Macaca mulatta: one gene and its partners. The protein of the gene in region 2 purifies or fractionates together with the protein of the main gene of each other region. This does not show direct contact. Links are inferred from orthologs where the notes say so. Each region holds a gene or a part of one and is shown on either strand. Other genes may lie near its edges.

What was found.
Region 1: the proteins of MTNR1A (region 2) and GNAI3 purify together in Homo sapiens (tandem affinity purification; 3 studies listed by BioGRID and IntAct, with this or other methods). This does not show direct contact. The link is inferred for Macaca mulatta from reciprocal best matches to the Homo sapiens genes MTNR1A and GNAI3.
Region 3: the proteins of MTNR1A (region 2) and GNAI2 purify together in Homo sapiens (tandem affinity purification; 3 studies listed by BioGRID and IntAct, with this or other methods). This does not show direct contact. The link is inferred for Macaca mulatta from reciprocal best matches to the Homo sapiens genes MTNR1A and GNAI2.

The regions. Positions count from the first base shown.
Region 1 is NC_133406.1:130,655,072-130,659,528, forward strand, and holds the start of GNAI3 (guanine nucleotide-binding protein G(i) subunit alpha-3), read right to left. Parts: upstream 2,866-4,457; 5' UTR 2,713-2,865; coding exon 2,595-2,712; intron 1-2,594. UniProt on the Homo sapiens protein: Heterotrimeric guanine nucleotide-binding proteins (G proteins) function as transducers downstream of G protein-coupled receptors (GPCRs) in numerous signaling cascades.
Region 2 is NC_133410.1:194,969,549-194,974,015, forward strand, and holds the start of MTNR1A (melatonin receptor type 1A), read right to left. Parts: upstream 2,924-4,467; 5' UTR 2,722-2,923; coding exon 2,532-2,721; intron 1-2,531.
Region 3 is NC_133407.1:113,709,939-113,714,313, reverse strand, and holds the start of GNAI2 (guanine nucleotide-binding protein G(i) subunit alpha-2), read right to left. Parts: upstream 3,082-4,375; 5' UTR 2,952-3,081; coding exon 2,834-2,951; exon of another isoform or gene 2,513-2,833; intron 155-2,512; exon of another isoform or gene 1-154. UniProt on the Homo sapiens protein: Guanine nucleotide-binding proteins (G proteins) are involved as modulators or transducers in various transmembrane signaling systems.

The DNA of each region.
Region 1 (4,457 bases), on a different chromosome or scaffold from region 2:
CTTTCCCAAGGCTATAACTAGCAAATGGGAATTAGGATTTGAAGCAGTCTGACTTCAGGACCCATGCTATTAATCACCATGTTAAACTATACCCCCATAAGAAAATATATCATGTGCCAGGAGACACAAGGGTAAGTAGATAGATCTCAACTTAAACTAAGTTCCATAGTGATAAAGTAAAAACGACTTGCATCTACAGCAAAGGAGATATTATTCAGGAAAAAGAAAACTGTATACTGTTTTGGGTACATTTTGCTTACAGAAATAGCATAGAAGATAATTTTAATTTTCTATGTGTGTTATGATATGGTTCAAGCAAGAACATATGTTTCTGCAAACTATTTGAATTTCTGGATTTAACTTGCTCAAGAATATTAAAAAAAAATCTTACTTAAAAAAGAATGAAGATAAAAATTGAAAGCAAATATGTTTAGTACTTTGATTTTTACTCACTGCTTACTCAGTTCCCTAAGTCATCAAGTGTCTAATTCTGCTTTTAATTAAATGCACTATTTGTAAAATCCTGAATAAAAATTCTTCTAGACATATGGACAAGTTCCGCCTGTCCAAATTGTGCCTGCCTAATCCTGCCTTTTGGAAGAAAGTCTCAAAAGTTTCCAACTACCTTACAATAAGCTGATGTCCTGAGGGTATCTCTGTTGGTCAGTGTAAATCAAATCACTCATAGAAGATGAGAATACATCTTTAATTTCATAACCAATAAATCAATAAAGAAAATGTTGGCCAGGCGCGGTGGCTCACGCCTGTAATCCTAGCACTTTGGGAGGCTGAGGCAGGCGGATCACGAGGTCAGGAGATCGAGGCCATCCTGGCTAACACGGTGAAACCCCGTCTCTACTAAAAACACAAAAAATTAGCCGGGCGTGGTGGCAAGTGCCTGTAGTCCCAGCTACTCAGGAAGCTGAGGCAGGAGAACGGCGTGAACCCGGGAGGCAGAGCTGTCTCAAAAAAAAAAAAAAAAAAAGTGAATGCCCTAAATATTATAGTTTATATCAAATTTCTCAAAGGCCCCAAGGACCAATGTTCAACATTTGCTGGCTCAGGCTGGTTAACAGTAAATATTTAAGGAGCACCTACTATGTACCAGGGACCATGCTTATCTACTTGTTATACAGACAGTGGCAGTCTAAAACAATTTGAACTCGCATCTTCTGAAAGTTCAAGTATACAAACCGGAAGCTTAAGCTCCAATACATAACTTTCCCTTTATAGTATATCCAAAAAAGCTATTACCAGAGCTTCTGCAATCTACAACCAACCAAATACGTTAAGAAGAGACTACCGGGGCACTTAGCATGTCCTAGAGTACAAAATTAGTCTTGGGTTACAATGGTACATTCTGTTCTCTGGAGCTTTATACCACGAAAATTTAGCACTTCCCCTAAAGTGACTCCTTTTCCTCAAAAATCAATTGTTTTAAAAAGTAAATTTCTATTGCTTACAGAAACCCCTACTCCTACTTATTCATCTCTAATGGAAATACTACCCTAGAAAATACTAATAATGAAATGTGGCTTGATTTATTAGTAAGCTAATGCCAGGATTCTTTGTATGATTTACTGAGCCTCTCAAAAATTTTAAAACTCATGTTGAGTAAAACACATCCGACTGCACAAAAAAAGCCACTTAAAACGACTATCAGATAATATAAACAGTAATTCCTGAAACCAATGGTTTTGCTTTGAAGAGGCCAAAATGGATACAACAGCCACCAGAAGTCTACCACAGTCTTTACAGTAAATATGTCCAACTCTGTAACTTATCCTAAGGTAACTATTCCAACTGCACATCATCTATAGCAACTGTTCAGCACTCTCCAATGTGTAATCTCTTGTTCACTATATCTTCTGCTACAAACCTCAAACAAATCATTCTTTAAATTTCTTTAGCTCACACCATTTCCGATCCTTTTATAAAAACAGAAGGCGTTATAAAACCTTGAAAATAAAAATGATAGAAAGCGGTGGAAAGGTAGAGATGGCCTCTGCACCCAAACTCTTTTCCTTTATACTTGATAATTTGTCATTTATCTCGTCTACCTACCTTCATGTTCCTGGATAATCCAGGGTTCCTCCAACAGTTCAAAAGGCTCTCTCATTAACAAATGTCAACGTCCTTATGTGACCATTCTGTTCCAGTCTCTATACCATCCATTCAAGCCTCCTAGCTTTATCCTGCCAAAGAACCACGACGCTCCAATCTCACAAACCATTACCAACACGCTCCAACCCAATGTAAAACCTTCCCGAGTATCAACTCTTCCTTTATGAGCTTTTCCCATATTCCTACTCCCTCAATATCCTACCTGCCCATACTCCCAAGTCTCTCTGCTAAACGCAATTCCAGTCCGGAGTCACACCCTCTATAGCCTAATTCCCGCAACCCCAAAACCCCACCCCCCTCATCACGCCCTCTGGGGCCTCAGCTATGAACCCCAACACCCCGCCCCACACCCGGCACGCCCTCCAGATCCCTTTAGAGTCCTTTTCGTCGGCCCGACTAGACCCCGTTCAGGCCTTCCAAGCGCCTAGGCTCTCCCGACCACCACTCAGTCCCCGCCTCCAGCCCCTCACCGAGTAGCAGCAGCTTCACTTCTTTGGCCGCTTTTTCCCCGTCCTCCCGTAAGTTGCGGTCGATCATCTTGCTTCGCTCCACTGCCGCCTTGTCTTCGGCGCTCAACGTGCAGCCCATGGCGGCGGCGGAAGAGGGGACACCTGCCCGGGCTCACTCACACACCGCGGGAACTGCGGCTCGGCAGGTTAAGGTAGCGTCTACTGCTGGGCGGCGGCCCTCTCCGTCAGCTCCCTTAGCGCCCTGAAGAACCGGATATCCGGCGTTTACGACACTTCCGGCGACGCCCCGCAGCCTTCACTGTTTAAACCACTCTCCTCGGGGAGAGGAGTTGAGACCGAAAGCGGAAGTCACGGGGACCTGGCGGCTAGGTTGGGCGGCGGATCTATAGTTTCGAGGTTCTGTTAAGTTCACTGCCCGCCGTCCAACTTGAAGCCTCATTTACCTTTCGGCTACCTGATTTGGATAAATGGAGAAAAACCGGGGCCTCCAACAAATAATGCCCTCCCGCGTTCAAAATGCCAGTTTTGGGGCGGAGATGTCTAAATTAAAGCCTACATCCCGCGCGGGAATTTCTGCTGATAATTTCTCTGCTGTTAGAAAACTCCTTTGATCTCTTGCTCTGGAGACTCGGGGCCCCTACCCAAGTTTGGGACACTGCCTCTGTTGGGGTTGTATCGGATCAATGGAATGGGAACAAGCTGCCCGGCCTGGGCGCCGTTCACGTCTCACATCTGAGACCGTAACACCGACTGTGTTCAGGACCTTAGCAATATCTTTTTGCCCTCTCTGGCCCACTGACTCCTCTCAAAATGTCCCCTGGTCCTTATACCTTTCACGTTTTTTTGTGGGCTTGAGATTTGCTTAACTCCTATGTTGGCAAAAGGCCACATGAAATCACTAGCAGATACTCGATGACCTTAAAGTTAAGCCTGTAGTTCCTCCATAAAATTTCCATGCTGCCCTTCTCTCCAGTATAATTCATATCTTCCTACCTTAGGGTCTTAGAACTAAAACCAAGATAAGTCAACTTCAGTTCCACACCCTGAAACAAACCAATGCATCCTGTGAATCTCCTATTAAAATTTCCTGTTGCGATTACATACAAAAGGAGAAATTCTAGTAAAATTTGCCTCTCAGCCCTATTCTCACCTGAAACTTAAGTCCACTGTGAAAGCCCCAGGCCGATAGCATCTTTCACTAATAACCCTGGATACTGCGTGAAGGTAGTCGTAAATGAACTTTTCAGGCAAATAAGCCCATAATTACTATACATTCTAGGGAAGGGAACTCAGTCCCTAAAACCTTTCCCTGTGATTGTAAATTACTTTCTTTCTCTAATAGAATCTGAACTTGAGAATGTAAGGTCCCAACAGAGAGGGCTATATAGTGATGATTCATTAATTAGAAGGATTTAATTAGAGGATTAGAGCCACTTTAAAAAGCCTCGTCCACCATAACTCTTAGCAATGCCAATTCTTCAAGGTTTGAATAGTCCCCCAGTCATTCCCAAATGACTGTTAGAATGAAAGGGACCGCTTTTCCATTATCAATACTTTTGGGGAAAAAGGGCAAGAGGAAAGGGAAGTAAAACCAATATTTATTGAGTACCTATTTGCCAGATATGGCTAGGTGCTTCCACATCCCATCTCTTAATCCTCACAACAACCCTGTGAGGTAGGTAATAAAGATCCCCATTTTTACAGGTGAGGAAGTAGGCTCAGAGAAATTAAGCAGCTTTCCCAACTTCACACAGTGAGTAAGTAGATCTCTCTGACCCCAGAGTTACCTTTTTCTATCATGCCCCTCTACGATATTGCCTGGGGACACCTGACAACAGAAAGTCTAAGGTTTTCATCTAGGAT
Region 2 (4,467 bases):
ATATGTGCCATTTCACTACAGTCATTGCAACACTCTTATGAGGCTAAAAGGTTAGGTATTATCTGCAATTCGACAAATGTGGAAAATGAAGTTTGGTATTTAGCTTCGCTGATTTCTGAAATCAGAAAGTGCACAGCAAAGATCTAATTCCAGCGTTCCATTGCAGGAATATTCCATTATGCTATCAAATTTACTCAGAAGATATGATATGGCAGTATCACTTCTATCATCAAATTGTGGACACGAGTAGAGCGAATATTCTGTTGGCACCACAGACGCCAGTGGTTGCAGCTTACTTCGGCTGTGGCTGTCCAGTGTCCCTGCCATGCAGGTTGTTAGCCATTTTCAATTTATTCCCTGGGAAATCAAATGTCAACACAGTCCCTTGAGGGGAGGAAGGTGGCAGAAATCACGGCAATTATACCAACTTTCCAAAGGAAAGTGATGGTTCAAAGCCTAGATGCTTTCGCCTTCTCATTTCTTCCATTCTCTTCTTCCCATCATTTCATCCTTAAAGCCAACAAAATTCATTTAGCTGAAATGGGAGGTCTGAAAATCATCAAAACTTTTAATAAGCATACCAAAACTTATATTTGAATCAGCTATCCTTACCACTGTTTCAAATCACCATCCATTCCAGAAATTCTCAAATGGCTTGAACTGCACATATAAACAAAAAATCCCTATTATAAAAATACGAAACTTCTAAAGTTGGGTGGATTAAAGCTCACTAAGGGGCTCCCCTTAAAGCGACAGGAATGTAGTATTTTATGGATTGTCCTCTTAAGAGTATGTCTTAGCAAATAAAATACAAAGTGTGTGTAAGGAGCGATTTTCTTAAGTTCTTTTTCAGAAAACACAAGAAGTAAAATTGTTCAGGCGAGAACACTTTTTACTTTTTATTTTTTTGAGATGGAGTTTCACTCTTGTTGCCCAGGCTGGAGTGCAATGGCACGATCTCTGCTCACTGCAACTTCCACCTCCCAGGTTCAAGCGATTCTCCTGCCTCAGCCTCCCATGTAGTTGGGATTACAGCCGTGTGCCACCACCCAGCTGATTTTTTGTATTTTTAGTAGAGACAGGGTTTCACCATGTTGGCCAGCTGTTCTCGAACTCCTGACCTCAGGCAACCCACCCACCTTGGCCTCCCAAAGTGCTGGGATTACAGGCGTGAGCCACCACCCTGGGCGGTGAACACTTTTTAACTGAAAGGTTCTGCAGGATTCAAACTTCCCAAGTGCTGCAGTTGTTGACAGCAAGGAAGCAGGGCGAGCTCTGGAGGCCAGCTCTGGGAATTCAGCCCTGCTCACACTTCCAGTCCCTGTGAACAACCTGCAGCCCCAGTTTCTCCTCTGTAAGGTGAGTTAAGAACACACCACAAGGATGCCCTGGGATGAGTTAACCCAGTGCTCCCAACCTGTTTGGTCCAGAGAAAGGCGTTTTTGTGGGTAGGAAGGAATGAGCCTCTTTTGGAAAGCAGAATTCCTCCAGTTATTATATCAGTCACCTACGAAGTGAGCTTATTCTATTTACAAACTCAAACTCAATTCATGTTACTAGGTGCCTAACTAACTAATTCTCAAATTACAAACTGCAAAAGCATTACGGGGGGTGGGGAGAGGCAGGGGTGAGTCCCCCCAAAAGGAGCTAAACAAAATTAGAGCTTTTCTTAACTACCTAGTTAAAACAAAAATATTGATCTTGGCAGACATTTAAGTGCATGTTTCCTTCCCCACACCTTCTCCCAAAAGTGCCTCCAAATAAAAAACTAGTTTCTTCAGAGAACCAAGCATCTAATCATCACTTAGAGGTCTGAACATCCAGTATCCTAAGAACAAACTGTCCACAGGTTCCCCCCAGAACAAACCAGTTCAATGCATTGCTGGAGGAAAAAGCAAGTTTAACTCAAGCACAAAATTATCTGCAGTTGCATATGATACGTAAGTGTACTCTTTCTGCTCACGCCTGGCTACCTGCCTCCTCTAACACAACAACTTCTGTTTTTAAAGTGTCAACTTGTTTACTTGGAGGAGCCGCGGCCTGCCGGACACAGCATGTTTAGGGGCCTTTTTTTCGACTGTAGGCTCCTAACGACAGACTACTCTGAACAACAAAACCACTGCGGCTGCTCCAGCATTTTGCCAGCTTCTGTGTTTCCATATTTTAACAATGTTAGGAAAACTAAGTCCCATGTAAGACCCAGCAGTTGATCATTTCGTTGCAGAGGCTGCTTGAGGAGCTTTCTGCAACCTGGACCTGATGCTTCTCAATCTAGTAAAACTCAGACGGGACAACCAGACGGGAGTGTCCCCATAGGAAAGAGAACGCGACTCTGGCGGAGCGTCCCATCTCTTAGGGGCTGCGACTCCGTGTCTTAGAAAAAGGCACTTTCGATGGGCAGGCTGGAGGAAGAGTCCCCTCTAATAAGAAAAGTGACTCCGAGCCCGCAGTGTTCAGAAACAAGAACCCGGTGCTGGGGAGGCTGGCTGCGGGCGGAGGGGCGCTGGCCCCGGGGGCGGCGCGGGCCCTACCTGCGTTCCGGAGCTTCTTGTTCCGATACACCGACAGGATGACCAGCAGGTTGCCCAGGACGTCCACCACGATGGTGAAGATGAGGACGCAGGCCAGCGCCGATGCCAGCCACGAGGGCTGCGGCCGCGCGCCGTCCCCGCCGGGCCCGGGCTGCGAGGCGTTGGGCAGCGCGCTGCCGTTGCCCGGCATGGTCCCTGGGCGCGTCCCGGCCGCGGGGCCATCGCCCGCCTGGCCCCCCCTCCCGGCCACTTTTTAAGGCTCCGCCCGGCGCTCCCCGCGCCCACGCCCCATCCCGCGCGCTCCTCCACGCCGCGCCCCCGGACGCCCACGCCGCACCGGACGCCACGGCCAGGTGACACCTGGTGTCCGTCGCGAGCCCGCTTGGACTCCCCGCCCGCGGCTCGAACCCCGCACCACGGGCCGACAGCGCCCCAGTGCGGGAAGCCGGGCCCAGCCGCCGCGGGAGGGAGCTGTGTCCCAGGGGCCTCTCCTCGTGGGCGCACAGCGAGGCTGTTCATTCACGTGTTTCTTCTCTGCGGCGGGACTGTACACCCAGCAGGGCCAGGCTGCCTGGGCTCAAATGCGAAATGGGATTGGGGCGAGTGCCCCAGCTGTGTGCCCCACTGCCCTTATCTTCTTCTGCAAAATGGGAATAAAATACTATCTCACCGGTTAGCCTCATAATTAGTAAAATGTGAAAAAACTAAGGACTCTCTTCCGTTGTGTATTGCACCATTTAAGATTATGCTAGACGTTTCCGATAATGAAATGACATTTTCAAAGAAAAATGTAAAAATCAATATGTGCGGATGATAAAAATGTATGTACTTTTGTAAGTACCAGTAAAAATGAGACAGAAAGCACACTGAGATGGATCGGATACATGACAGCAACGTAAAAGTGCTAGGAAATGACCTAACCAGTTGTGTGCAGTGAGGAAAAAACTTTATGAAAACCATGAAAGGAAATTTAAATAAACGGAGAGACTTACAGTGTTCCTAGATTCAACGCTTGAGATTTTCATTTTCCTCATGTACTTCATGCCAGCCCAAGAAAAATATCAAATAACCTGAAGCTCTTTTGAAAGAGTAAAAACAAAGTGTAGGAAAAGGATTTGAATAAGATGAATAGGAAAGAAGTGTGACCCACCAGGATAAAAATGTTCATTAAAAATTACAATAAGTGGCCAGGCACGGTTGCTCACGCTTGTAATACCAGCACTTTGGGAGGCCGAGCTGGGCAGATTACCTGAGGTCAGGAGTTCAAGACCAGCCTGGCCGACATGGTGAAACCCCGTCTCTACTAAAAATACAAAAATTAGCCAGATGTGGTGGCACATGCCTATAATCCCAGCTACTCAGGAGGCTGAGGCAGGAGAATTGCTTGAGTCCGGGAGGCGGAGATTGCAGTGAGCGGAGATCATGCCACTGCACTCCAGCCTGGCTGACAGAGCAAGACTTTGTCTCCAAAAAAAAAAAAATTACAATAAGTATGCCAGGCACGGCTGCTCACGCCTGTAATCCTAGCACTTTGGGAAGCCAAAGTGGGAGCATCTCTTCAACTCAGAAGTTTGAGGTTTGGTGAGCTATGAGTGCACCAGTGCACTCCAGTCTGGTGACAGAGCAAAATCTTGTCAAAAAAAAAGGCCAGGTGTGGTGGCTCCCACCTGTAACCCCAGCACTTTGGGAGGCTGAGGCGCGTGGATCACCTGAGGTCAGCAGTTTGAGGCTGGCCTGGCCAACATGGTGAAACCTCGTCTCTGCTAAAAATACAAAAATTAGCCGAGTGTTGTGGTGGGTGCCTGTAATCCCAGCTACTCAGGAGCCCGAGGCAGGAGAATCGCTTGAACCCGGGAGACAGAGGTTGCAGTGAGCTGAGATCATGCCACTGCACTCCAGCCTGGGCAAAAAGAATGAGACTCTGTTTCCAAAAAAA
Region 3 (4,375 bases), on a different chromosome or scaffold from region 2:
CAGGGGCAAGAAAGAACTGCTCTGTTTACATTCTGAAGCCTTTATGGAGCCAGTGGTGGACACTGTCTCCTTTTTCTGTGAAGCCGTCCACACAAGCCCATCCCAAATCAGAGACTCTCCCCGCTCACACACACTCTGGCTTCCTTTCCCTTAAGTGCCCAGATTCCACCTGGGCCTAGCTGGTCAATCACATTGAGCTGGGTAGGAGTGGTGAGCATCCCTAGCGCAGGACTGGTATCTGCTCCCCCTACCAAGCTGCCAGGAAATACTCTCTTGCCCGTGTGTACCACATCAGCCTCTACCCTGGTGACAAGAACTGTGCCCGCCTGCTGGCAGAGCTACCCAGGATGGAGGGAGGCGATGTGCAGGCAGGGCAGCAGGCGTGGTTCTGGCTGGGAGGGAAGGCTGGCAGTTGCCCAACCTGAGTCCCGTTGCCTGGACAAAGTCTCCCGCTACATGGGACAGGCGCCCAGAACTCTGAACTTGCCACAGCTGGGCTCCCATCACCACCTTGCACCTGAATGGGAAAGGCATGGCTCAAGCCAGGATCCCTCCCCAGGCAGCCATGGCAGATTGGGTCGTCAATATCGGGCAGAGCTTAGTCAGAGCCCTTTGCAGCACACTGCAGGGTCTTAACTCCCAACCCACATCCCCAACAAGAACCACCAGGAGGCTCTTGTTCTCCCCACCCTGAGCTGGGATACTCCTTTGGCCCAAACCCAGGAAGCCCATTTCACAGGGTAAGCAAAGGCCAGAAGGCCAGGACCCCAGGGTGAACTCCCCAGGCTAGAAAGTGCTAAGCCAGACCCTGCCTCCCTGGCTGCTGCCAGCCCAGTGTGGGAGGACTTGCCGGGTCTCACTTGACTTAGCCCAAAAGCTGAGCTGGGCTCCAAGGAGCAAGTCTGGTGGGATCGGGGACCCTTCTAGTGTCGGGACACAAAACTAGCCAGAAGCCCTACGTTCCCCCAGCTCTATGGTCCAGTCTTGCATTTCCTCAGTCACCACAGTAGCTGCAATCAGCCTAGGGAGAGGCTGGCTAGAGACTCCTGGCTGGGCACTGGGAGGCAGCGGTACCGGAAGTGCCCTCCCCAGGCCCATCGGGCAGCAGCAGCAGTAGCAGCGATGGGCATTCCGCCGCGTCGACACCCACTCACTGCCGCTGCCGCACTCACAGCAGAGACAGGAAGAGGCAAGCGCCCAACGCAAAGCAGCCCAGGAGGCTGGGCCGCCGCCCCTTCCCGCCCCTTCTCTTCCTCCCTGAGGCAGCAGCGAAGCGGATGCCATTTTGAAACCTCCGAGGCTGTGCCCCGGAGGCTAGGTCCGCAGGGACAGTCAACAGATGGGCCCATAATGAACATACATGCTGTTCCTCGGCCACAGGCCCAGCACGAAAAGCCTTGCTTTTCACAGCCTGGGAGCCCCATGACAGTTCTGAAGCTGAGGGGCCACACCCCCCCAGGCAGTACTCAGCCTACAACGGTGCTGTGCTGTTGCAAGGGCCTCCCTCCCCCGACTCTAAAACCCCCAAATCAAAATCAGACTGCCACTGGGCACCACCCCTACTTCCAGTGGGAGGTTGGATGGGGACAGCCAGTAGGCCCACTGTCTTTGCAAAAGGCCAGCTGGGATGCTCAGAAGCACCCTGGCCCACCCCTAGCTGGCCCCTCAACTCCTCATTCAGCTAGTCCACCATCCCCCTTCACAGGGTCCCAAGATCCAACAAGCCCCCGAACTCTCAGTGGCTACATCCCAGGCCTTGCAGCCCAGAAGGGGTGTGGGCAGCCCAGCACCTACTAGCAGATCTCTTGGGCTCACCCGCAGGGGCAGCAATATGTCGGCTATCTCACCACTTCCACTTCCCCCCACCCCTCTAGCAGCCACCATCTTTCCTGGCCTTGGAGGCGACCACAACCCTAACTCCTCCACACTCTCTCCTACTTCCCAGACTGGCCTTCGAAACTGGAAAACATAGAGCCCGCAGAGCCTCCCTGGGAAGCCTGAGGCCTGGCCCCCTCCCACAGCTTGACCAGTGGAGCCTCAGTCCAGCCCCGTGGGGGTTCTTCGTAAGGCAGCCTAGGCCCTCTCCAATCCGGGGCTCCCTCATCCTAGCCCAGCCCACTTGGTGCAGGAGAGGTGGAAGGATTGGGGAAGGCCAGAGTGTAAGAGGACTTAGTGGAGGATCAGCAGAAGGTTTCGGGAGTGATGCTTGCAGAGAAGGATCTGGAGGGCAGGAAGCAGGGAGCAGGGCTCGCTGAAGGGGTTCCAGTTGGAGAGCGGGCTCAAGAGCAGTTTCCCATTCCAGAGGTTCCTTGGGTCAGAACGCACAGGTGGAAGACACAGATTCCAGACTGGGGATGGGGCACAGAGGGAGAAGGAGGGAGTGGGTAGGGGGCCTGGCAGGGGCTCCGCGGGATGCTCATGCCCAACAGGAATAAAAGGCGCAGATGAGGAAAACAAGTGGAGCCTGAGGGTTGGGGAACAAGTGGCGGGCATCCTGGGGGTTTGGGTAAAGTGTAAGGAAGGATGGCGGGGTCTCTGAAGTTCTGTGAAGCTGGTTAGTAAGGGGGGATGGCCAAGCAGGGCACTGGACCGCGGGTGTTGGGGCACTGTTGGCTGGATTTGGAGGTCTGGGATGAGATAGGGATCTGGTCTAGAGTCTGGGCAGGATCGAAGGTCTAGCCCAACCTAGAGTTTTCAACCCTGGTCCTGGCCCAGGTGTGGGGTCCCAGACAGCCCGAGTCTGGGAGTTCGAAGCCCTAGTATGAGAGGTCAAAGTCCTTGTCTGGGGATTCGAGCTGGGAATTAAGGATCCCAGTGCGGGACGCGGCCTCACCCAACAGCAGCAACTTCACCTCCCGCGCCGCCTTCTCTCCGTCCTCCCGCAGGTTCTTGTCGATCATCTTAGAGCGCTCGGCCGCCGCCTTGTCCTCGGCGCTCACTGTGCAGCCCATCCCGCCGTCCGCCGGCCCGGCCGCCGCCCGGCCCCCACACGGCCCACGGCCCGGCTCGGCCCCGCCCGGCCCCGCCCGACCCGCTCCGCTCCCACTACCAGCCCTCTGCGGGAAGCTCTCGGGTCGGCAGTTCAGAGCGTCTGCAGGAGGCGCCTTCCCGACCGCCGCGCACCGACGGCGGGGCGGGCCGGGGGTGGGGCCTGGGCTAACCAAGCCCGGGACTGGGCCGGGGCGGGTCTGGAGGCGGGGCCAGAGGAGATTCGAGGCTGGTGATTGGCTTGAGGGCGGGGCGAAGGGGGAATGAGGCGCAGCCCAGGCTCGGGCCTCGGCTGCAGGCGTGGCCACGCGGAGCAAAGGCAATAGGGGTGGATCCAAACCCAGGGACCCGGCACTGGGCGGGTTGCAGGCGGGGCCGGGCTGTGATTGGGTGCGGAGCGCCGGGAGCTCAGTTGCTGGACAGCCGGGAGGGCGGATCTGTTAGCCCGAGGGTGGGGATCCGGTGCCCTCGAGGACAGAGCAGGAACCAGCGCTCTGAGCTTCTGCGAGTTGGGCGAGTTAGGTGGAGGAGGCGTGTCTTTGTCATTTGTTAAAGTTAATGAGTCCAATAAACTTGTTTTGGAATCTACAGAACTCGGGAGCCTTTCTGGACTGCGGTTTTCTTTGTCTTAAGGCGGTAAACCGCCTTCTCCCTCTGGGTTGCAGCAAATCGAAAAAGAAAAAACAAAGGCCGGGCCCAGGGACTCACGCCAGTAATCCCAGCACTTTTGGAGGCCGAGGCGAGCGGATCACTTGAGATCAGGAGTTCGAGACCAGCCTGGCCAACATGGTGAAACCCCGTCTCTACTAAAAATACAAAAATTAGCTGGGCGTGGTGGTGGGCGCCTGTAATCCCAGCTACTCAGGAGGCTGAGGCAAGAGAACTGCTTCAACCCGGGAGGCAGAGGTTGCAGTGAGCCGAGATCACGCCATTCATTGCACACCAGCTTGGGCGACAGAGCAAAACTCCATCTAAAAAGAAAAAAAGCCGGGCGCGGTGGCTCAAGCCTGTAATCCCAGCACTTTGGGAGGCCGAGACGGGCGGATCACGAGGTCAGAAGATCGAGACCATCCTGGCTAACATGATGAAACCCCGTCTCCACTAAAAATACAAAAAACTAGCCGGGCGAGGTGGCGGGCGCCTGTAGTCCCAGCTACTCGGGAGGCTGAGGCAGGAGAATGGTGTGAACCCGGGAGGCAGAGCTTGCAGTGAGCTGAGATCCGGCCACTGCACTCCAGCCTGGGCGACAGAGCAAGACTCCGTCTCAAAAAAAAAAAAAAAATGGGCCGGGCGCGGTGGCTCAAGCCTGTAATCCCAGCACTTTGGGAGGCCGAGACGGGCGGATCACGAGGTCAGGAGATCGAGACCACCCTGGCCGACACGGTGA